Tamandua tetradactyla: one gene and its partner. The protein of the gene in region 1 binds, or shares a complex with, the protein of each later gene. Links are inferred from orthologs where the notes say so. Each region holds a gene or a part of one and is shown in the gene's direction. Other genes may lie near its edges. The genes, in order: KPNB1 and PTHLH.

Region 1 (11,998 bases):
ATAAATAATTTGAAAACATTCCTCTGTTGTCTTTCAAAATTGCCCCTAAAGAGCAAGATGACATTTGGATAGCTATTCCTTTGAATATGACCAGCCTTTTTTTTATGGAAGAATTTATGCTCTTCTATTTACACAGTGCTCTGAAACTTCATGATGGCATACCCTAGTGTGATTCTTTTTCGTCATCATGTTGGATACACTAGAGGTCTCTCATTCTGGAAACCTAGACTATTTAGTTCTGAGACAATTTCTTTAATTATTCCTTAAATGATTGCCTCCCCTCCATTCTGACCTAACTTTTAACCTTTTCATTTTTTCATGTGTGCCTATTTCCCAGCTATTTGGTATTTTTGTTTTGTTTTGCTTATGGATGTTTCCTCAATTTTCTCTTCCAACCTTTCCATTGAAGTTAATGGTTATATTTTTAAGCTCTGTTTTATTCTCTAGTGTTTCTTTATATATACATATACACACAAATATGCCCCATTCTCACCCACCCCTGCCCTGGTAACTTGTATTCTAGTTTCTGACTCTGGGAAGTTGCATATTCTAATTATTTTACATCACTTAGCAAGATCATACAATATTTATCCTTTTGTATTTAGCTTACTTCACTCAACATGGTGTCTTCAAGGTTCATCCATGCTGCATGTATCAGAACTTCATTCCTTTCTATGATTGAATAATATTCCATTGTACATATTTACCGCATTTTATTTATCCATTCATTGGACACTTGGGGTTGCTCTCACCTTTTGGCTATTGTGAATAACGTTGCTGTAAGCATTGGTGTGCAAATAATCTCTGCTTTCAAATTTTGGGGGTATATACCTAGAAGTGGAATTGCCAGGTCACATGTTAATTCTATACTTAATTTGTTGAGGAATCACCAAACTGTTTTCCACAGCAGCTGCACCATTTACATTCCCACCAACAATGATTACTCCACATCCTCTCCAACACTGATTTTCCCTTTTTTTTTTTAACAGTAGCATTTTTAGTTGATGTGAAATGGTTATTTTTATTTTTTTTTTTTGCATGGGGAGGCACCAGGAATCAAATCGAACTGGGGTCTCTTGCATGGCAGGAGAGAATTCTGCCACTGAGCCACATTGCATCGCCCTCTCCTTGAGGTTCTGATTTGCATTTTCCGAATGGCTAATGATATTGAACATCTTTTCATGTGCTTATTGCACCTCTGTATAACCTCTTTCAAGCAATGTCTATTTCAGTCCTTGATCCATTTTTAATTGTTGTTGAGTTGTAGGAGTTCTTTATATATTCTTGATACTAAATCCCCATCAGATACGCGGTTTCCAAATATTTTCTCACATTCTGCAGATTCTTTTCACTTTCTTGATAATTTCCTTTGATGCACAAAAGTTTTTAATTTTGATGAAGTCCATTTTGTCTATTACTTCTCTTTTGCTTGTGCTTTCAAAGTGAAGTCTAAAAATCCATTCCCTAATACAAGGTCTTAAAGATATTTCCTTATGTTTTCTTCTAGGAGTTTTATCTCTTATTTAGGTTATTGATCCACTTGGAATTGATTTTTGTATAGGTGTAAGATAGGAGTCTACTATAAACACCTATACAAAAATTAATTCAAAATTATTTTGCATGTGGAGATTCCATTTTCCCAGCACCATTTGTTGATGAGACTATACTTTTCCCATTGAGTGTACTTGGGACACTTGTCAAAAATAAACTGGTACAAAAAATTGGTTTATTTCTAAACTCTCAATTCTGTCCATTGTTTTATATGTCTGTCCTTTTGTCAGTACCACATCATTTTGATAAATGTAGCTTTGTAACAAATTTTGAAACTTGGATGTGTGAGCCCTCCAACTTTGTTCTTTTCAAGAGGGTTTTGGCTATTTGGGACTGCTTACCCTTCCTTATGAATTTGATAATTCACTTTTTCCATTTTGTAAAGACAGTTGTTTCAATTTTTACTGCAATTGCATTGAATCTTTATATTGCTTTGAGAAGTACTGACATCTTAACAACATTAACTCTGCCAATCCATGATCACAGTATGTCTTTCATTTATAAATCATCCTTTTTTTTTTAAATGCAGTCTCATAAAGAGTTGAACTAATTTAAATTCTTAAAAGTACATTTTGGAGTGGGGGGAGTAATAAGTTATATCAGTTTTCATTTAAAATTGAATTATGTTAGGAAAAATATGTCAATATTTTAATGGTGGATATAATTAAGGATTACAAGTGATTTCTGCTTCTTTTTATTCTTTTAAAAATTTCTATAGTGAGGAGCATGTATTACTTTGATAATCACAAAAAGAACAAAGGAAGGAAATAAAAAATTGAGTGAATGAAAGCAGAAAGCAGCTGAGGATGTTTGGCTCCATCTCCAGGTTCTTTGGCAAAACAAGGCAGGCCGCTAGGATGGGTGAGGAGAAATAACTAAATAATTTGCTCCATTTAGCTTTGCTCAAGCTTCTCTGAGATCCTCCCAAGTTTGGATTCAGGATGCTTTTACCAATTTGTTCTTTATTTGATTTTTTTTTTCTTCTGTCTCCCCAACACTGCATCCCTTTTAGCTCTGGGAAGAATACGTTTAAAAAATCATCACCTATTTTCCAAAGATCAGTTACAGAAGGATAGTTGTGTCAAGTGATATAGGGGCCTTGAGCTTAATAATCCTTTTTGAACATTTTTCCCTACCTCTTTTCTTTGATTTTAATAAAAGAAGTTCTAAAACTTTTTCTGATTAAAAAAGCAATACATTAGGGTGCATGGGAGGGTCACTGGTAGAATGTTCACCTTCCATGTGGGAGATCCGGGTTCAATTACCAGACCATGCCCCTCCAACCCGCCCAAGAAAAAACAAACAAAAAAAGTAAGTAAAAAAGCAATACATTTTCATCAAAGAAAACGTGGAATACACTGAGGAGAACTAAAAAAGCATAGAAAAATTATCTGTAAATCCAGAGACAGCCATTAACAACATTTGGCTTATACATTCCCACTTTTTTTTTTCTCTTCAAGGTTACAAAAATATAACAAAAACTTTTTTCTTTGAACATTACATAACACCTTATATATTTTGCATAACTTTTTAATTGAAGTATACTATGCCTACAGAAAAATGAATGCAATCAACTAACCTTAAGTACACAGTGTCCCTTAAAGCAAAGAGGCCTAGATTTAACCCCTCTACCAATCAGTCAACTTTGCTCAGTAGAAAATGGCATCAGGGTCATGGCCTCACTGCTCCTCCCATCATAGCGAGTCACCTTACACATCTGTGCTGTGGGTCATAAGGGGGACTGATTAGGAAAATTTTAGCTCATCTCTAATATTTACTAATTCACCCACATAACAGAAACTGCTGAAAATCTCCTGGCACAAGATAATTGTAGCGAGTTCCTTCACAGAGGGGCTTCCATTTATGCTCACACCACCCTATGAGATGTTTCACAGATTCAAAAGGTTACATAGCTTGTTCAGAATCACACAGAATGAAATAGTGGAGTAAGACAAAAACGTTTTTTTCTCTTCAATTTCAGAATTTGTTCATTTTTTAAAATTAAAAAGTGTATTTATTATGAATATTCCCAACATACAAAAAAGCTATAGAGAATATAAAAAACTATGTACTCCAATACACAGCTCAGGAAATACAAGCTGAAATTCCCTGCCTATTCCTCTCCATTCTACTAAACCATGTGGCCTTCAATTTCTCTCATTCATTCCACAGTACAAGCCAGAAATCCGGTAGACACAATACACTTCCCTCTTTTTCGAGACAATCACCAAACCAACTGATTTTGCTATCTACTTCTATTTCCATCATTATCCCCACCTTTCTCCTTGCTACAAGTATCATCTCTCACCTAGATTACTGCAATGGCCTGCTGACCGGTCTACCTGCATCTATTCTTGTTCCTCTCCAATCTATCTCCACATCACAACCATCCTTCTTGAAACCTTTCAATAGCTCCTGTTGTATCCCCTATATGATACAGATAAAACCCCTTTCAGTCTGCAAGGTCTCTTATGGTCTTGGCCCCACTTAACTCTCCAGCTTTATCACAACCCCTTGTTCTCCATGTTTTGGGGTACTGGCCTTCTTTCAGTTCCTTGAAGACCCCAAGGCCCTCCCACCAAGGGGCCTTTGCACATGTTGCTCCTCCCTTCATCACCTGAGTAACTAACTCCCTTCCCATCCTCTAAGCTTTCCCTGAGCCTCTGTCTGGGTCATTCCTTGGCATCTTTCACTTTCATAACTTTATATTTGGATGTGAGATTAACTAAATCTATGTTCATTAGTACACCGAAGACCAAAAACTTCTGAGCACAAAATACAAGCCAAATAGATGCATATTTATACATCTATATATACATAATATGCCAGGTAGTGTTATTAGCACTTAATATATATTAACTCATTTAGTACCTCCCAACAACCCTATGAAGTAAATACTGTTATTAGCTCCATTTTACAAGTGAGGAAAGTAAGTCACACAAGCTAAGAAGTGGTAAAGCTGGGTTATGAACCCATGCAGTCAATTCCCAATGTGTTGCCCAACGCTATGGGGCTTCACTAGCATTGTCAAATACAGAAGAGTGCTTTGGATACAGCTTGTCACCTATCACCTAAACACTATCACCTGTAATTATTCAATTTTGGTTTTGGTAAGGATCTTATATATGATGGAACTCTGCTGCAAAACTTATCTTCCCAGCATTTTATTTCAGTTAGTTTAACAATCAATTTGCCTTCCGAACTATGGTGTATATTACAATGGAATATTGTGTGGCTACAGAAAGGAATGAAGTCCCATGAGGTGAACAAACTGTGAGGACATTATTTTGAGCAAAATAAAAAAATAAAACCAGAAAGAGAAGGACAAATATTGTATGGTCTCTTTTAGAAACTATATTATGAAAAAATTAGGAGCTAGATTATAAACTCTTACAATAGTCACATTTATTCCTAAGATTTAAGTTTTACTTCTAGATTCTGAGATGCTATGCTCTTTGTGTACAACCTGTTATTTACCTGGAACTTTGGGTACTGGAGTGACAACTAAGACTCAAAGTGGGAGTTCTGTAGCTTTCAAAGACCTACAGCAGGGCCATGATGGCTCAGCGGCAAGAATGCTTGCCTGTCATGCCAGAGGACCCAGGTTCGATTCCCGGTGCCTGCCCATGTAAAAAAATAAAAAATTTAAAAAATAAAAATATAAAAAAAAGACCTACAGCAACTGTTAAGTCAAAAAAAAGATTAGACTTCAAGTAGAGATAAGAACAAAGCTGATCTGCTTGGGACTGAGGTAAATCAGAATACATGGTAAATAATGTTATTGTCTGTATTATATAATTCATCTACTATATGAAACTGAAAGAAGAGATGCTTATTTTATCCAAACTTAAATTTTCTGTAGCACACAATCTAACAACCAAAAAATCAATTTGCCTTCACTGGCGTTATCATGACTAATACTGAGCAGAGGAGATGGCCCATCAAACTTCTGGAGGGCAGGAAAAAGTTGGTTTGGAGTGAAACAAAATTGTGTATCATTCAGTGAGTAAACCACGTCAGGACAATTCAAAGACTGTCCTGTGCTCACACAAGCTTCACTGATTCCTAACAAAGTTAAACTTCATCTATCAGTTAACAGATGAAGCAAAAGGCTGGAGCTAGGTGGAATACTAAACCTGAAAAGATCAATAAGTTACAGGATGGTGTGAGGAATGGTGTCCCCTCACTTTCAGCTTCAGGACTGCAGATGTCTCTACTTTTCGTTTCAGAGGGTAGCTGGCCAGATTTTCCTATATCTTCAGTGGAACCTCTCAGCATGGACAAATTATCTCCTGGGTTTTCCCAGTGTGGTTCAAGTAGGGCAATTACTTCGTAACACCAAGGCAAATGAAAAATAACTCTCTTCAATCAAACCTATGATCAATAAGGTAAAAAAATTTAACAGTCTAGGAAATTCCTAACCTGGGGCCCATGTACTATGCCACGTTTTCTTTATGTGCATTTTGCTAATCCTTTATGCCCATACACCCATTCTTTCTGGTTCGCAGATGTGTTTTATAAGGTAACCTTTGGAAGATGAAATTCATCTCTATTCCTTCAATTACCTGGTAGCTAAAGACCGGGCACTTAAGAGGAATCCAAATGCCTATCCGTATTCGAGTTAGGACTTGTTACAGCACAGGCCTAAAACCCCCCCAAAAAATGTAGGACTGCTAATGCATTCATCTCCTTGGAGGGGAAGCCGCATGCAGGGTGAAGGGCAGTCAGGGGCACTACAGTCTATCCTGACCAGGCCACTATCCGGCTGTGTGACCTTGTAAAATTCCATACCCTCTCTGGCCTCAGTTTCCACATGTGCAAAATTAAAGTTGAACCAAATGGTCTCCAAGGTAGTTCCCAAACGAAAGTCTGGTGCCAAATAGACCTAACCATTAAAACAGCTTCCTGTGAGCGCGGCAGAGATTTAACGGTCTCCCCTCCCCCGCTCAGGACCGCCAAGCACTCACACAACACACCCCTCGGAGCAAGGGCGCTTTCTCAACCGCAGCCCGAAGCGGCCCGAGCAAAGCGCCGCCCCTTCCCGGGGGCGTCCCATCGTGCCCTGCGCCGGGCACCCAAAGCACCCTGGCGCCTCCCGCCTTCCCGCGGACCCGACCCCGAACTCTTCTCCCAGTTCTCCCGGGCGCGCTATCCTATCGACGTCTAGTATGCCAGCCAATCACCCGAGCTTGGAGCCTTGCCTTTAGTCCATCCTCCTCCAAGCGCTCAGCGTGTCTAAGCTCAAGGCCTTTACCAGGCCAATCCAACCCGCTGCCGGCTCTCGCCGGCCCCACCCCAACCTCCCTCACGTCGGCCAATCCGCGCGCTCCATTTCCCTGCCCGCCCAGCCAATCCGGGTCATGAAGCCAGCGGGCGAATTGGCGCACGGCGGCCCTTCAACCCTGCCCGCCTGACCAATTGGGGATTCCGCGTGCCCACGGCAGCAGCCAATCGAACTGGAGCGCGGTGCCGCCGCGGCGAGGTCCGGCCCGAATATCCCTCCGCCTCCCTCCCTCCCTCCCTCTCTCTCCCTCCCTGCGAGTCGCCGTTCACTCACTGCCTCTCTTCCTTCTTTCTCCCTCCGCCACCCGAACACCAGCCGCGATCTGAGCTGCCCCCGGGGTGCCTACCCCACCGCTACAAGAGTAGTTGCCGCGGCCGCCAGCAGCAAAGTAGGAGGGAAGAAGGAAAGAAAGAAGGAAGGAAAGGGCGCCGGAACTACCAAGAGGGAACCGGTGAATGGGCTTGTGGTGACCCCCGCCCCCCACCCCACCCTCCCTTCCCACCCGACCCCCAACCCCCACCCCCAGTTAGAGCCGCCGCCCGAGAGGCCGGACCATCGTCCTAGGGGAAGTCGCTGCTATCACCTCCGCCATGGAGCTAATCACCATCCTCGAGAAGACTGTGTCTCCCGGTAGGACGCGGGGGCTGGGGGTTCGGGCTGAGGTGATTTTAAGTGGGGGGAGGGGAGGCCCAGGCCCCTTTGACCCTGTTCCCTTTCCCACTTTGCTTCCCCCCAGATCGGCTTGAACTGGAAGCGGCGCAGAAGTTCCTGGAGCGTGCGGCCGTAGAGAACCTGGTGCGTGCAATCCCGCCGTTCCCTATCCCGCCGTCTCCCCATCTCCTGCGTCCGGGGCCTTCCCGCCCTCCTGGAGGCCCAGGCCTCGGGAACCTACCCCGCCCCATCCCGTCCCCCTCCCCCCGCCCGGCTCCAACCTAACCCCGCCATCGGGAAGCCGGTGGGTGTGTCCCGCCCCGGGCCCCTGAAGCTGGCCAATGACGCGGCTCACCGGGGTGACTGCCGCCCAATCATCGCACGGCCTGAGGGCGGCGGTGCAGCGGGAGGGAGAAAGAGGGAGGGAAGGGAAGTTAGGTTGCGCCGCGCTGCGTGTTCGGCGAGGGTGGGGGTGGGGGAGCCGGGCCTAGGGGCCATGTGGAAGCTCAGAGCCCAGCTGCCCGCTCTGCTCTAGACCCGAACCGGCTTCCTCTTCCTGTCCCATGGCCCCTGTGGTTTTCCATCTACTTACCAGACCTCAACTCTTACCGATTTAGCTTGGCCTGTGCTCACCGCCAGGCCTAGCACCCGAATGCCAGTTAACCCATGTCTCCTAATATTTCTCCCTATACTGCCTGATTTGTTCTTTCCTGGGTTTTTTGGTGTTTTTTTTTATTTTTTTAACATCCATGAGTAGATATTTGGAATCTGTACTCAGACTGGGGTTCATTCTTGATCGGTCCTATTTCCTGAGGAAATCACAGAGCAAAGTTCCTCATTTTGGAGTTTTCAGATTTAAGGAGCACATTTTCTGTTTGAGAATGTGGGATGGATTGATTGAAACAAGCCGTGTGCCACTTGCTTCCCTTCGGTTTCCCTGTATTTGGGAGGATGTGGAGCAGAGGGAAAGGTGGATGATACTTGACATCTTTTGAAAGTATAAGTAATATGTAGTTAACACTGTAACCAAATGGGTCACTTTGAGTTATTTAGATAAAATAATGTAAGAAAGAAGTGGCAAGTCTTATTTCATACAAACTACCTTTGAATAGTTTCTTCTGCTGATATTTTTACCCTTAATTTTCCCCAGAAAGGATTTTTCCACTAGTATAGACACCCGTTTCTGCTTTTGCTAATTTGCAGAAGCCTTCATACCTAGCATGTTATAATGATACAAAACTAAATACGACTTTTAAGAATTATCTTCTGATGTGAAAATTCTATGGTGAACAGTAGTTGTTAGTAGTCAGAAACTCTCCTTTTGGCTTTTCCTGTTAACTTTTACATTTGAGTAGGGCTTTTGGGGGTGCAGGAATGTGTGTGTGTGTCAGAAATCGTAAGGGGTGTGGTTTGGGGACTTGTGTGTTATAAGAGATTGAATATATTTTTTAGGGCTCCATTAAGTTTCGTGGATAACTAATACCAAACTGTATAGAGGCTTTTAGCCATTTATATTTGTCATATTCTTTGGAACAATTTGCCTTGACAGTTTTTATCTTTTCAGTTTTTCTCTATCCCAGTTTCTAATACTTATCACTAACTTTTTCTTGTAAATCTACTTTTTTTTCCCTTTGTTCCCCTTTTGCTGAAAGTTGGTTCATGCTTGCAACTAAAGTACAGAGGACTAGGCTCCTCAATCTGTTTTAGATTTCCCTACAAGTATTTTCCTCTCATACAAGATTTTCTGTTTTCATGAGATCAAAAGTCACACTGAAATTCTTTTTGGACTAAAGTTTTTAAAAGAATATCAATTTTACATTCCTGTCATAACGTTAATTCATTCAACGTATACTTAGTTACAAGCACTATTTTAGGCGTTTGGGACATTTCAGCATGAAGGTCCATTGCCTACCAGATTGCAAACTTGCTTTAAATCTGGGGATGTGATTTGAAAACTTGGGCTCTAAGAATGACCTTGGTAGGAAAATCTGCCACTCTTGTATTGTTTGCCATTGCCTGAGAAGACTATTTACTCATATGTTAAGTTACATTTAAATGGAATTTTTGAAGTAGATATTTTGGAGTTTTCTGTGGCACTAATAATCTGTCCTTAAAAGGAAAAAAGGTTTCATGCTCCATAAGCTATCCTCAACTGGTGAAACTCCTACCAGATATTTTCATTCGCAAATACATCTCTTAACAGCCCACTTTCCTTGTGGAACTGTCCAGAGTGCTGGCAAATCCAGGAAACAGTCAGGTTGCCAGAGTTGCAGCTGGGCTACAAATCAAGAACTCTCTGACATCTAAGGATCCAGACATCAAGGCACAGTATCAGCAGAGATGGCTTGCTATTGATGCTAATGCCCGACGAGAAGTCAAGAACTATGTAAGTAACTTTCTCTTTTTCGTCATAATGTTTAGGGATTAAACATGTTGGTTCTTTTGTCATTTGCTGAACTGGAGCTCACAGTATGATAGGTTTCAGGAACCTGAACCTCACTTGAAGATAAAAATTGTGCTTGATTTAAATATTTTTCTCAGTTCAACTTGTCCGTTTTCACTGATGGAATGGACTTATTTTCAGATAACCTAGGTGGACATAGCTGTTTGGGAAAACTTTAGATCGGTGATTAAAGGAATTTGTAGAATCCATTTGGTAGATTGGAATGGTACATAAATTGGTACTTCCGAAACTTGGGTATGTCAGAATACTTAGGGAATTTGCTAATAATATTATAATATTAATTTCTAAGATTTTTCTAGAGATTCTGATTTAATAGGTCTAGAATAAGTTTCAGGAATTATTTTTAAAACTGTCTTCCCAAATGATTCTTTCACAGACATCCAGCACCTAGTTCTTAGTGAAGTTCTGCTGCAGATAATTGTCATGCTTTGGTGATTTAGCCATGGCAGTGTGTAGTATAGTCAGAAGAGACATTAAAAGATCTCTCGAGCCTTTCAAGCCCAGAATTTATGAAATAGGGATATGACATTGTGCTTTTATCTACTTAGCAGATTATGAAACACTTTCTTTAAGAAAGATCTGTTGTTTTTTTCCAAGATGTTCGAAAAGTTGGGATAACAGATATTCCTAGTATGTGAAGAAAATTGACTATCTGGTTGCTTTGCATCATGAAGTTCATATGACTTTGTTGAATTAGAAATGCATCGTTCTAGCTTGAAGCAAAGGACTCAGAATACATAGACAGGTGTGCTTTCTCTTTTTCTAATTAGGTTCTAAAAGTGGACTGTTTTTATAAGGCACAAAGAGGAGTAAGTTTAGCATCTGTGCAGTCATCAGTGGGTCCTTGATATTTGAGGAAACCAACATGGGATTGCTACATGTGTACCTGTGTGGGTCTTAGTTATCCTCATCATATTTGCCATTTCCTGGTTGGTTCTAGGTGTCAGCATTAGCTGTTTACTTCCTTTCTGCTCCAGTATTACATGGAGTTGTCTGCAACAGAAACTGTAGGTTAGAAAGCCAGTTTATTTTGAATCTTCTTTGGAATATGTGGAGCTATTTCTATCCACATTGAGTCTGCTTATATAATAATATTTTAATCCCCCTCTCCTGGGCAATTTTATATAAATGAAATTTTCTCCTTCACTGGAAGTCTTGATGACTGTAGTGCCCATTTGATTTTTTCTTTATCTTCGAATTACATAATACTAAATGAGATAAGACATGATAGAAACTATATTTAACATTTTTTTGACATGTCACTTAACACCAATATTTTGTAAATTTTGAATTACATAAGCATGGTTGAACCCTTGTGCATGAAAACAAAAAGCAGTCATCTTGACCATTTTACCTTGATTGTCTTTTTTTTTGGTTTCGTTTCATTTTTTTTAATGTTTTTTAAATTTATAAAAACACAATACACTGAGAACCACCAAAAATGGGATATCTTAGGCGTATTTAAATAAAGTATCCAAATAATCATTGTAAAATCTGTGTTTGTACAGTAAGTTTCATAAACCAATTAAAATTAAGGCAACAAGGAAAAAATCTACAAATTCAGATGGCAGAGTTTATTAAATTCTAAATATTAATTTGACCAGTTGTCAAACCGAATGTCTTTTATAGCACATCTGATAATTAATACTGTCTCTCAGTACTGATGGTCAGTTTTCTTTTTTGAAATGTGAATCTTAGGACACAATTGAGCTAGTTTCTTATTCCTCTTATTCCGCATGAGTATTATTAGGGCCATCCCTGGTTTAAAAGAAATTTCACTACTCAGGTATTAAGATATCTGTAGTCAGCTCAAATAATATATTAATTAATGCTCTTCTAGAAGCAATTTACAGGAGAAAAGGTAAAGGTAGGATAAATTAAGTAATCTCCAGGTATGTCCCAAGAGACTTGGTGTAGTACATTACAAAGGCACCCTGAACTAGAACTCTTAGGCTTGGGTTAATAGCTGGTCAGCCACTTCCACTTGACAAGTTATCTTGATTTTGAGATGCAGATTTTGTTCAAGTTCATTCTAGCTCCACTAGTCT
Region 2 (11,769 bases), on another chromosome or scaffold:
AACAGGAAACCGGACCTCTGAATACTGTGAATGAACTCTCTGAGAACCAAATGAAATGCTCAGAAATAGAAACCAGATGTAAGCAATCATGAATCCAGGGCACTACTCTGCCTCCTGGTTTATTTTTAGCAGAAAGCTTATTGAAGTCTTTTCAGTTTTGTAATTAATGTTCAAGGATTGCCATTAACCTCACAGTATAAGATGGGACCAGAAAAAAATTGTGTATACGGTTTGAGTGGGAATATTGATCTTTAAGTAGTTTGCTGTGTGTTTAATGGAGGTGGTAGGGGGGTATTCTATTATTTTCGTTTCTCCCGATTTGACCTAGGAGCAATGAATCTCTCACCAGAATATAATTCACCTTTAGGTAATAGTGGCTGCTTATATATTTAGGATGTGTCAGTCTCCTCAAGGCTGGGAAGTATCATAGCCTAATATAATATTTGGCTTTCAAGTTTTGGGTGTGCAACAAGAAGACCAACAGACTTTTTAGCTAAAATCCACTCAAGTTATTAGAGTTTGGACATGAACTTGGCCTGCCTATGCCACAGGGAATACAAGTACCTTCTTTCAGGCTCTGGATGAAATCATTAGTGATGTCAACAACTCCAGTGATAGACCTGGAGACACTTTGCACTACTTAGCAAACAAGCAAGTTTCCCAAATGTTTAGAAGCCCAGGGAGGATGTTAAAGATCTGTATTCATTGAGCTTATTCTTCTTTCCCTGCAAATACCCAAATTCCCCTTGATCCAGTGTCTTTTTTGTTTTACCACACCAGGGTTGGAGCAAGATGAGGGAAATATGTGGTTATGTTGTCCAGACTGTGTATTACAGACTCAAAAGTACACTCTGTTGTACCTCGACAATGAAACTCTTTTAAAAATGTGGGTTTTGGGAACCATATCAACCACCTTTGAGTTCCCGCTCCATTTGAGGCTATCACAGGTCTTTTGAAGAACAATTTAACTACTATAGACATGCACACTTTTGCCTATTAAGAACAGCAAAGAATGTGTTTTTAGGACAAAAAAAAATTTATCCTTTCCACAAAAAGAAACTTCTTTTTTTTTTTTTAACTATTAAATGTACCTTGAAAGTTCCATACAAGTAACAGCTTAGCAAGATGAGAACTAAAAGAGTAAAGTGCGACAGAATTCTGTAAAGGTCATTTTAAATTTCTTAGCATAACACTCCCACATAATAGCTGATCTCATATATTCTGATGCATCAGAAGTCCACAATTTTCCCCTCATTTACCAGTTTCTGGGAAGTGAAGCACAAACAAAATGAAGGAAAAAAAATCTTCAAGGGAGCATATAATATAATACCATGCACTAGACATTAGGGAAAGAAAGATTTCTAAAACTTAATAAGATACAGGATGCCCACCAAATCCGCCACAGTTTTTAAAAATTATGCTTTACAAAAGATTCCCAGCAGCAGATCAAAGAACTTTATACAAGAATGTTGGAAAACACATCTAAAATAATAAAATATGCTTTTATTCCTCAAAAATGAGGAGGCAGGTAGAAAGAACTGCAATTCAATTTGAATCCTCAAATATCTTCAAAAGACCTACTCTGGACTCATGGCAATTTTGGGGATATTGTGAAGGTGAGCAGAACACAAGCAAGGGACTGATGAAGTTTTTTTAAAAGCTCATAGACAATTATACCAATTGAATGCTTGCCTTTTGAAAGCCCAAAAACAATTTTACAACTCTAACAGAGAGCTGGTACAAAGTTCTAATACTTTCCCCCAAAAAATTTATTGATTTAAATGGATAAAAAGATGAGACCTTAAAAAAACTAATAAAAAAGACACCGGGGAAACAATTTTTTTTAATAAACTGAATAGAATTAGACTGAACTTTAGAGGGAAAATTCTCAATTGGTTTCACTATGAAGAGAGGCAAATATTACATTACAGAGAGGGAGAAAGAGAGAGAGAGAGAAACTTTCCCTAAACTATATGAGCAGATAACATATAAAAGAATGAAATCTGTTTATATGCCTCACTACCATTTTATCTTTATTCTTTCATAGAAACGAGGCTAAAGAGATTAAGAGGGGAAGGCTGATGCCAAAGAATTTATAGAACAAAACTAAACTTCTAAGTTGCAAATTAATAATAAAATCTTTTTCAGGGTTTGTTTTATACTTTTCAAGGAAATGGGTACACATGCAAACCTTGTTCAATTATTTTTTAAAATATCCAGAGTCAGGGAAAGTAAAATGTTTTATATCAATTTTATTGACTTGGGAAAATATTTTTAGATGAATTTACAGAGATATTCCATTTTCTTCCACTTAAAAAATATTATAGAGCCAGAAATTGAGGGGGACAGAGAGAAAAGCTACTAAAATTATTAAATCATAATAGTTCTATTTTACATCAGGCATTCTGGAAGTTGTTTATAAACACAAATTCACACACACACAAAGTATAAAAACAGCAAACAATGATGTTCTCCAATCTTATGTCTTATATGAAAACAAATAAAAAGTTCCTTTATGCACAGGATGGTAATTAAATACCCTCATAAATAAAGGCACAGAACACAAATTAGATTTATAAATATTTAGAATATTTCAGGGTTTTGTTTTGTTTTTTTTTGTATATAGGGGAATTCGTTATTCAGTTGGAGACTTGGAATCTCTAGTAGAGATAAGTAATGATTACCAGGGGAAATTAAAAGATAAAAAAGTAAAATATAGTGAGAATTAAAAGGGCAAAACATCCTTTGCCTTGAACACATATAAGAGCTTAAGTTCATAAGCATTTCTTCATAAGAATATGTCACGACAACCGGGCAGAATTGTGTCTCAGAACAAACCTACAAGTACGACCCTCCCACCCCCCACCCTCTCCCACCCCACTCCGGCAATTTCTTTGCTTCTTGCTTTGCTAAAAGAAAAGTGGCAATCAGACAGACACTATTCCCAGGGCTCTCGTGTATAATGAAGATGTTGTTCCTCCAAACAATAATAAACTGCAAAGGACCCTGCCTAGGAAAAGAACTGACCAAAAACCCTGAGACACCTGGCAACTCCCAACAGCAGCTTGCCCACGCCATAGAAGCGGATGTTGTGCACATTACCATAGCATAGCGCAAGGTGCAAATGCAATGGTCAGTTCGTGGATGCTTTTAAGAAACTTGAGAAGCATATCGAGTTTATCAACTTGCTTGTAGCTTTTTAAAGAACAGAACATTTTAAAAGGGAGAAGAGGGAGGTTGTGGAGGTGGGCAAACATATCTTAAATTAAGCACGTGAAATAGACTCTCAGGAAGGGCAACTAAAAGGAAACCCCCTGTTTAGACTCAAGAGTTCTTTTCCACATTATCTCTGGAATTCTGCCTCTGTGCAATTGCGCATCCCGGAGTTGTGCAAAAGAACACATCTAGTCTCATGCCCGGCGCACAGGGGCTCAGTCATTGGGAGACTCGGGTGCGAGGGTGTCACAGTGCCTGAGGGTGAGGTGGGGTGGGGGTGGGGGTCTTCGCCTCACCAGGACAGCCTGAGCACGCCGGTCAAGGAGTCTTAACCACCATGGACAGCTCACAGGCTTCCTCCAGCCAGCTCCGCGCCGTTTACAAACTCCATAGGAGCCACCAGCGAGGTTGATTTGTATGCCCTGGAGAAATGCCCTGTGTTCCACAGTCTGCACCCCCTGCGATCGCCAACTGCAACCACTGAGTTGCTATATATAGACAAAGCAAGTTTCGGGAGTTAATACTCCTCTTCTTGCCCTCAAATAAGTCCTTTAAGGTGCCTCCGGATTCTAAGAATCAGACGGAGAGAGTTGACAAAGACAGCTTCGTGCCACGTCCCTTCATTTCCTCTCCTCGTCTCTCACTGCGCCCGCCCAAACCTTGGCTTTACGGATCGTGTTAAACGAAATAAAACAGACTGATCCCAGGGCTCCAGAAGCCAAGCTTCCCTGGCGCGGGGGAGGTGAGGAGGGAGAGAGTGAGTCTCGGGCCTCTGGAAGGAGGGGAGTCGTCCCTCCACACCCCTACTTGCACCCAGCCCTGGACCTGGAAGTTGGGGGTGGTGGTGGAATGTCTGCCCCCCCTCCCCCCACCCCCTTCCACTCCCACCGGGAATATATCATCACCATATGCTTTGGGGCTTATCTCAGGTTTGAGTCATAAATTGACCTGGAGGGAGAAGGGAGGGAGGGCCCAACTTGGAGGAAATTCTCTCGCTCCTTTGGACCCTGGCCTCGGGACGGGACGGGGACTTGATGTTCCCAGAGCTTCCGCTCTCCTGCAGCGTTTGCGGGGCCCCTGCTGAAGAAACGGGGGGACTGGGCAGGCACTCTAACGGTCCCAGGGTCTGAATGCTTGTACCTAAAGGGGCGGGATGGGGAGGAGCGAGAAGGCTGCAATTCCAACGCTTCAGGCAAAACGGATTCTGTGCCGCAACCAGGAGGCCGGATTTTTAGGGGGACCGCCAAGGTGAACCCAGGGAGCTCAGCTAAGTCTTGCCAAGGGGCTACTCGCCTCTGAAGTTCCAAAAAAGCCTAAGATCCCGGTCAGCCAAGCCCGGGTCCTCCCTAGGGATCATCTCTGCAATCAGAGACCCACGTCTGTCGCGGGAGGTGGGGAGCTAATAAAGATCATCCCGTCGCCCCTCCACTCCCGCTCCCCGCCTCTTCCAAGACCCGGGATCCTGCTTTAAGGGACACGGGCCTCCCCTTGCAGCTACCCGCGCGCAAAAGCTAGGCCAGGAGACCCCAAAAAGCGCGGGCGAAACTTTCACGCTTGATGCCTCCTGGGACCTTTTTTTCGGACTTCCCCAGGAAGGGGGAAGTCAGGGCCGGAAGACACCGTAATCATGAGCTCAAAGCCAAGCAGACTGAGCGCCTTCAGTGTGGGTGTCTGGATGCCTTTCTGCCTGAGAGGATGGACACTCTAGTCCAGGTGCAGCCTTAACGAGATTGGCCAGATTTGCAGCGGCGGAGAAAGGTGTTAGAGAGGTACACGGCTTCCCAGGTCCCAGCGACTCTCCCCAGCAGCGCCTACCAGGCGGCTCCGGCCGGAAATGAAGGGACGATTCCCACCCATCATAGGGCAGCCGGGCGGCGGCCAAGAAGCCTCTGTGGGGCTACCCGACATAAATTACAGGTTGGAGGATTGTAGGATGAGCCAGGTGGGACTTGGAACTCCCTGTGCTCTCCTACCAGCTCAGAGCTTCCTACTTAGAAAGAGCCAAGGATTTGGTCTAGCCAAGGGCGTGGGGTAGGCACCGGTCCAAGAGATCAGGATTCGGACACTACACATTTTTTTCTCGCTTTCTTTCTTTCCACGATCCCTACGCCCATCCCTGGGGAGAAGACTCTTCTGCAGAAGTGTTTTTATGGTTATTGGTTTGGAAAGTGCACAAGCACTCATTTTAGAGAATTGGTCCCAAGAGATCCCATTCCTTAATGATTGTTTCATTGCATGTTGGCTTGAACTCCTCCCGGGAAATTAGCCTCACGTCTGGTGCCTGGGAAAGCTGTTTGGCCAGGAAGGAGGGACAGGTGAGGATGGGTTAAGGCCACTTTTTCAAGGGAGCTATCCAGTCAGCCTGATGCATAGCTAGGCTCTGTACCCTGAGGCAGTTCCTTCAGATGTCGCCAGCCATCTCTTCCCAGAGGAGAAGCCTCTGTTTGAGTTTTAATTCTTATCTAACTACAAAGAGATTTAATAATGAAACCTGCCCTTTTCTAATTCTACTTGGAATTTAAAGGTATTACATTTCCTTTTCTCTTTTGCTACCTTGAGGTCAGCTGGCAATAGCCATTTCTCAAGTCTCAGTATGGGCAAGTGAGTAGAACCCTCTTGGAATGGAACCAAATGATTATTTGAACTGGTTATGCAAACTTGTCTATGCAAACAGAAAAAGGTCAGAGAAGAGAAGGGATGGATTTAGTTGTTTGATTTTATAGAACTTTTTAATGACCTTCTTTAAATTGTAATTGAATTATCCATGAGTATAAAATAATTCATACATAATGTTTGTTGTGACAAACAGCATGCTTTCATGGGATTTCAAAGAAAAGCTTGGAGCAACAGATTGGCAAATGTTAAATCTGGATGCCTACTGGGAATAAGACAAGGAAATTTCTGAGCCCAGGTGCACTAGGCACTTTTTTTGGTTTGTACTATTATTTATTGGCTTGTTGTTTGGACTGAGGAAGCAAGAAAGAAGAAAGACAAAGAAGCTAAACATAAACACTACTTTATTTTTTTGTAAATTCCAAGAGGAGATAGCCCTGGAGATATGTCAGCTGGTTAGTCAAACATGAATTTAAAACTACATTCAGAAATATAGAAAACCTCTTTTAAAAATTGGGATAAAACACTGCCAATGGGGGTTGGAAGATGGAAGTCTGGGACTTGCCTGTGGGCTACGTATTTGTGTAGGTGTAGATCTCACAATGCCAAATTCTGCACTTGAAAACACTTCAGATTAAAGGCAGGCCTTCAAAACATCCTATTTGCTAGGTGCATTCATGAGGATAACAAGGCCTAGCAAAACATTCAGATTCTTTATTGGCACTGGTTCTTTTCCTAAGCCTCAGCCTCACAAAAAAAAAAGGCAACCTCCTAACATGCCTCATTTGCAGTCATGTGTCCTCAACATTACTGTAGAGGTTACTCAGCTATATTGGGAGCTAGATGATGTCAGAAAATATTCTTTTCCAAAGAGACAGGGCCTAGGTATATAATGAGACAAATTTCAGACTTTCTACTGTGGGTAATAAGCAGGGCAGCTTAGATGAGGTGCCTGCTTTCTAATAATTACCTTTGGTGAAAGCATAAAGGGCTCCTTACAGGAAGTTTTAAATTCATTTAAGATTTAATGTTACTTTTCTAAAGAACAAAAAATAATTATTTCAGGAAGAGACTGCTGAAAAGATCTCCCTCTTTTGGCCAGAAGGGCAGAGAGAAGACTAAATCAAGAAAAAGGTGAGGTAATAAATTAAGAGGAAATTTCCATATTTCAAGTATATAAAGACTATTTATTTTTCCTGTGTCTATATATTTTTTCTTTTCGTGGAGGAGAGGAAATTCTAAAAATACTTGATAGATGTTTTACCATTAACACCAGAAAAGAGTGGGGGGGGGGGGGGGAAGAAAGGCGGGAAGGAGAAAGGGGTCAATTTTGTTTAAGTAGAAAAAGCAACATAAATCAAAGCAGTTTATTGAAGCCAGTCTTTCGTTTATAATGTTCTGGGAGTATAATGAATTTATTTACAGCATAAGTGATTTAATATTTTCAATGTGAATTTTGTTTTTAACCTTTTATTGGGAGAGGGTTGACTTTTTAAAGCCTGAGTAGTTTAAAACTTGGCTAAGTAGCCTTGGATTTTTTTATTATGGAAGCAAATATTATCATTTTAATGTGAAACATCTTGCAAGTATTAAATAGCTTGTTTGTGATTTACTTTTTACAGATTTCCCCCAGATCTAAAGATTACATTAAGTCTCCTGCATCTTTTTTGGAAAGAATTTATTATAAATCAGAAAGTGTTAGAGGTTCAAAGGTTGATATTTCTTACTGCTATTTCTTTCATGCCATGAAAACAGGTCTAACATTTAGAAATTCTTAAACATTCAAGGGAAGTTGTGGAAATTCCCAAACATTTTGGGGGGGGGGGGTAGTGTGGAAAGCAAGTCCTGTTTTGTTTTTAAGTATAGAGTTTAAAGCCATCAAGTGAGGGAGCTTCTGAAAAGGGGTGCCTCGAACAAAACCAAGCATCAAACATTAACTGTTGTTAACGCGAGAGGAGCGGAGAGGAGCGCGGGTCGGTGAGAGGGCGCTATTTCACCCATCCTTGGTAAAATGGTGTGGTTCCTAAATCGGAAAGCCAGGCTTGATAAAGGTCAGACCCCTGAATCACCTCACGCTAGCCTTCCAGAGGGTTGTAAAACCTACCAACAGCATAGCCTGTCTAGAAGATAAATATCCCTTGAATGCTTCCCAACCATCCGCGTTCATTTCAGAAAGATAGAGGAGGCCCATTGGGCGAATGCCCACATCCGCTGCAATCCTTTTATAAATGATACTGCCCAGTAATTCAGAGCAGTTTTTCTTCCAGCCCAACGGCTTTGGGAAGAGCCCTCTGCTTTCGTAGTCTCTCCTGGGCAGAGCAACGTACAGAGATTGTTCCGCTGCATCTGTGGGCAGAAGCAGCCGTTCAGCTCACTCATCCTAAAATTTGTACCAGGGGGTTGGAGGGAAGTGGCGAGAGAGTAGGGGATCTGGAGTTAGGGTAGGTGAGACTGCTGCCGGTGTGCGAAAAGAACCGTGTGCTTGACCCAGGAGCGTCATCCTTCAGCAGTTCAAAAGGTCTTCATCTTCTGCTCGGGTTTTCTTGGATGGGCTCCAGATGTCCCCAGCTGGTCTCTGAGACAGCAAGAAATCCTATCCCGATCTGAAGTCTGAATCCGTTTTTGTTCTTCTAAGCGAAAGATCTCCCCGTCCCTGGCAGATGCTCCCCACTTAACTCGTCCCAGTAAAGAACCAGAGAAAGGGTTTCCATCACGCGCCCCGAGCTCCCCAGCGAGCTTAGGGTTCCTTAAAGCCACAGGCCAATGGCCCGCGACCTCCCTGCCGAGGCTCGGAAGAGCCCGCGCTCCCCTTCTTGGCTCCTCTCGCCAGCCCGCCCACCCGGAGCGGCTGCTGTGACTCGAGGGGGACCGTCACGCGAGCCCTCCGGGACCCCGACTCCCGGATCCGCGGCGGGCGGCGCAGGGCGAAAGCGAGCGGATCCGCCTACGCCCCCGACCCGGGGGACTGAGCTGCGGGGCCCGCGCTCCGGGGTGGGGCCCGGCGGGCCGGGGGCAGCGCCGGGGAAGACGGGGGCGGGGGGCGGGGGGCGGTGCGGCTCGCGCGCATTTCGGGTTCCCCGCGCCCCTCCGCGAGCTCCGGCCGCGCGTCGCCGCCCCCGTCCCCCGCTCGCCCCCAGCGCGTTCCTAGGGCGCCACCTCTTTGCGACTCGCTCACTTTTCCGGCAGGTTTGCCTCCGAGCGTGTGAATATTCCTCTGCTCAGCTTTCACCTCGCCTCCAACCTGCGCCGCCGGGCAGGCATGCCTCCCCGCCCGTGAAGCGGGGCTGCCGCCGCCCCTCTGCGCCGCTGTTAACCCGCCCTCACTGCCACCTGGCCCTCCCGATCGAAGACACACGCACTTGAAACTTGTTCTCAGGGTGTGTGGAATCAACTTTCCGGAAACAACCAGCCCACCAGAGGAGGTAGATAGACAGCTATGGATATATATATGGGTCTCGCTACAAGTGGCTCTGGAACCAAACGGCCTGATTCGCAAAGAAGCTGACTTCGGAGGGACAGGGAGGAAGGCTTTCTCTTCTTTTAGAAGGGAGGTAGCCCTGCTTCCCGAACCCACGAGAGCCGCTGGCCTAATTAGACACTGCTACTGGAGACGTATAAAAACACTACTCAACCTCGATGCATATATAAAACCATTTCATTTTCGCTATTATTTCGGAGGAAGCGCCTCTGATTTTTCTTTTTTTGGGGGGGGGGGGGTCCCTTTTGCCTGTGTGTTTTGGAAAAAGCACAACTGGAGTATCTGGTTCCTAAATAAGTAAGTGCTGAGATAGTCTTCAGAGAAAGTGTGTGTGTGTTTTGTTTTACTATTTGCAATGTGAGAGATCCCCCTTGGTGTTGAAGAGGCTATTTGAGAGCAGACTAAAAGGGGTCGGAGGGGACTGCAGGGAGATGGACAGTCCAGACTGACATTTCGGGCTCTTTTCCACTCTGTTGCAGGTCCAGAGAGCGAGAATCGGATACGATGCTGCGGAGGCTGGTTCAACAGTGGGGCGTCGCGGTGTTCCTGCTGAGCTACTCGGTGCCCTCCTGCGGGCGCTCGGTGGAGGGGCTCGGCCGCCGACTGTGAGTGCTCTGTCCTCCCGGGGGCGCCGGGTGACGGCTGAGGCCAGTGAGAGCGGCTGCCAGGCGGGGCGCTGCCCGGGGCCCGCAACGGTCACAGATGCTCCCCGCCCGGGTTAGATAGCTAGTGATCAGGCTACCTGCGGAAGGCCGAGTCCTCCGACTGCCGGGGAAAACTGGTTGAACCTCAGGGACAGACAGGCGGGAGATAAGTTATAAATGGGTTTCGGTAAGAGGGAGCGTTTTACAGAATCTCCTCTAAGCAAAGATCCTCTGCCCCTAGTGAAAGAAAACGGTTACTTTCAGAACCTGGGAAGATTTTGAAACTCTGCGGGTTACAAGAGAGTTAGATAACTAGGAAGAAGCTGAGGAGTCTTAGGGGACATATGTGTGTGTGCACTTGTGGGCATACTGAAATGTGGCAGTTTGTGTGTGAAAAGCAAAAGGCTGACATCTAATTTTATTATGAATGACATAATTTTAAGCACATAAATGGCACCATATTACATAATGAAGGCACATTATTATATAATAAAGTAGTGACAACTTTGCAGTGGCACTATTTCAGTGTTAGTATTGATGCAGTTCAGCAACACTAGAGTGCTCAATTTTAGATGTGGAAATTTTTCTTGAAATTATTTCTAATGGTTCTTTAATATATGTCTAATATTTGCATTGTAGACTGAAAACTTTTAATTTGGTATTTTCAATTGCTGGTTCTTTTAAGCTTAATTTTGACTTCAGCATAAACATACATCCACACACACGGAGAAGCATCGGGGTGCCCTTTAATTGAAAAGCTGGAAGAGTGGTTTAGAGCAATATGTAACATTATCTTAACATCAGTATTGTGATACAGTTTTTGGATGGTCTTAAACTGCAAACTCAGTTCAGTGTTCTAGAACACTCTAAAGTTGAAGAACTAAGAAGAGTTTGACTCTGGAATAGGAATTGAGACATTTTTGTAATTGTTATACTAACAACAAAAATAGCAATATCTAATATTTACAATCAGATTCATAGAGTATCATTGTAAATTCTCCAGGCTGTGCAAAAAGGTAACTGTTTTGCATGTGCCCTTGGTCTATTATTATTAGAGCAGAAAATCCTTAAGTAAAATTACTTTAGACATGTCTGAACCTTGGCACCAAAATGAAAATCTATTATGAATCTCCCAAAGCAAATTGTGTAGAGCACTGTACTGAAGATAAAGCTGAATCGTATTCCTCCAATCAACATTTTACTGATGTACTTCTGAAAATTATCTCTGGACTTTTGCTCATTTTGAGACTTGTATTAAGTTCAATTTTTTTTTTAGTCATAGATAAATACAGGCGAAGACTGAATTTTTAAAAGCACATTAAATGCTATATTTATTTGGCTAAGAAATACTGTCTTGGAACATAGCCAACTTTTTCTTTAATGCTGTTTAAGAAGTAGTTGCTTTCTCTTTCTGATAAATAATAAATGAACCATGATTAAATCCACAGTTATGAAATAAAATACTGCTAAGTTGTCCTAACAGCTATTTTTAACTCTTTCTTTGTTGCACCTTGCAAAAAAACACATGAAGAAGCATTTAGCAGCCAGAAACTCTGTTACAGTTTTGTTTGTGGGTGAAATATAATAGTGCAGTCAAACGCTCACACTCAGCAGACAAACTACCATGAAACATTCTTGTAGTTAATGGCTAATAGATCATCACATTACAGTCATGATTTTTCATAGAGGCAAAAATCATCAGTAGATGAAGATGTTCCATCAAGTTATTACAGCCAAATGGAGTTTTTAAAAAACAAGTCATTATTTTTGCATTGCTGCCAAGTAACAGTAAATTCTGTGTGCTAGACAAAACAGTCT

The links.
Region 2: the proteins of KPNB1 (region 1) and PTHLH are in contact, whole or in part, in a crystal structure (PDB 1M5N), measured with the Homo sapiens proteins. The link is inferred for Tamandua tetradactyla from reciprocal best matches to the Homo sapiens genes KPNB1 and PTHLH. Residues at the interface, in NP_002256.2 of Homo sapiens: Val55, Tyr104, Pro106, Gln111, Glu152, Tyr156, Gln159, Asn196, Leu199, Asn200, Gln239, Glu274, Gln278, Glu281, Asp288, Ile295, Ser298, Glu299, Asp339, Asp340, Trp342, Val350, Met353, Glu395, Trp430, Arg434, Glu437, Asn469, Trp472; in NP_945316.1 of Homo sapiens: Tyr103, Thr105, Gln106, Glu107, Thr108, Asn109, Lys110, Val111, Glu112, Thr113, Tyr114, Lys120, Thr121, Pro122, Gly123, Lys124, Lys125, Lys126, Lys127, Lys129.

What each region holds. Positions count from the first base shown.
Region 1 is NC_135332.1:29,003,100-29,015,097, forward strand, and holds the start of KPNB1 (importin subunit beta-1), read left to right. Parts: upstream 1-7,071; 5' UTR 7,072-7,425; coding exon 7,426-7,465; intron 7,466-7,571; coding exon 7,572-7,630; intron 7,631-9,689; coding exon 9,690-9,872; intron 9,873-11,998.
Region 2 is NC_135333.1:91,193,145-91,204,913, reverse strand, and holds the start of PTHLH (parathyroid hormone-related protein), read left to right. Parts: upstream 1-6,761; 5' UTR 6,762-6,963; intron 6,964-9,051; exon of another isoform or gene 9,052-9,604; intron 9,605-9,786; 5' UTR 9,787-9,811; coding exon 9,812-9,912; intron 9,913-11,769. UniProt on the Homo sapiens protein: Neuroendocrine peptide which is a critical regulator of cellular and organ growth, development, migration, differentiation and survival and of epithelial calcium ion transport.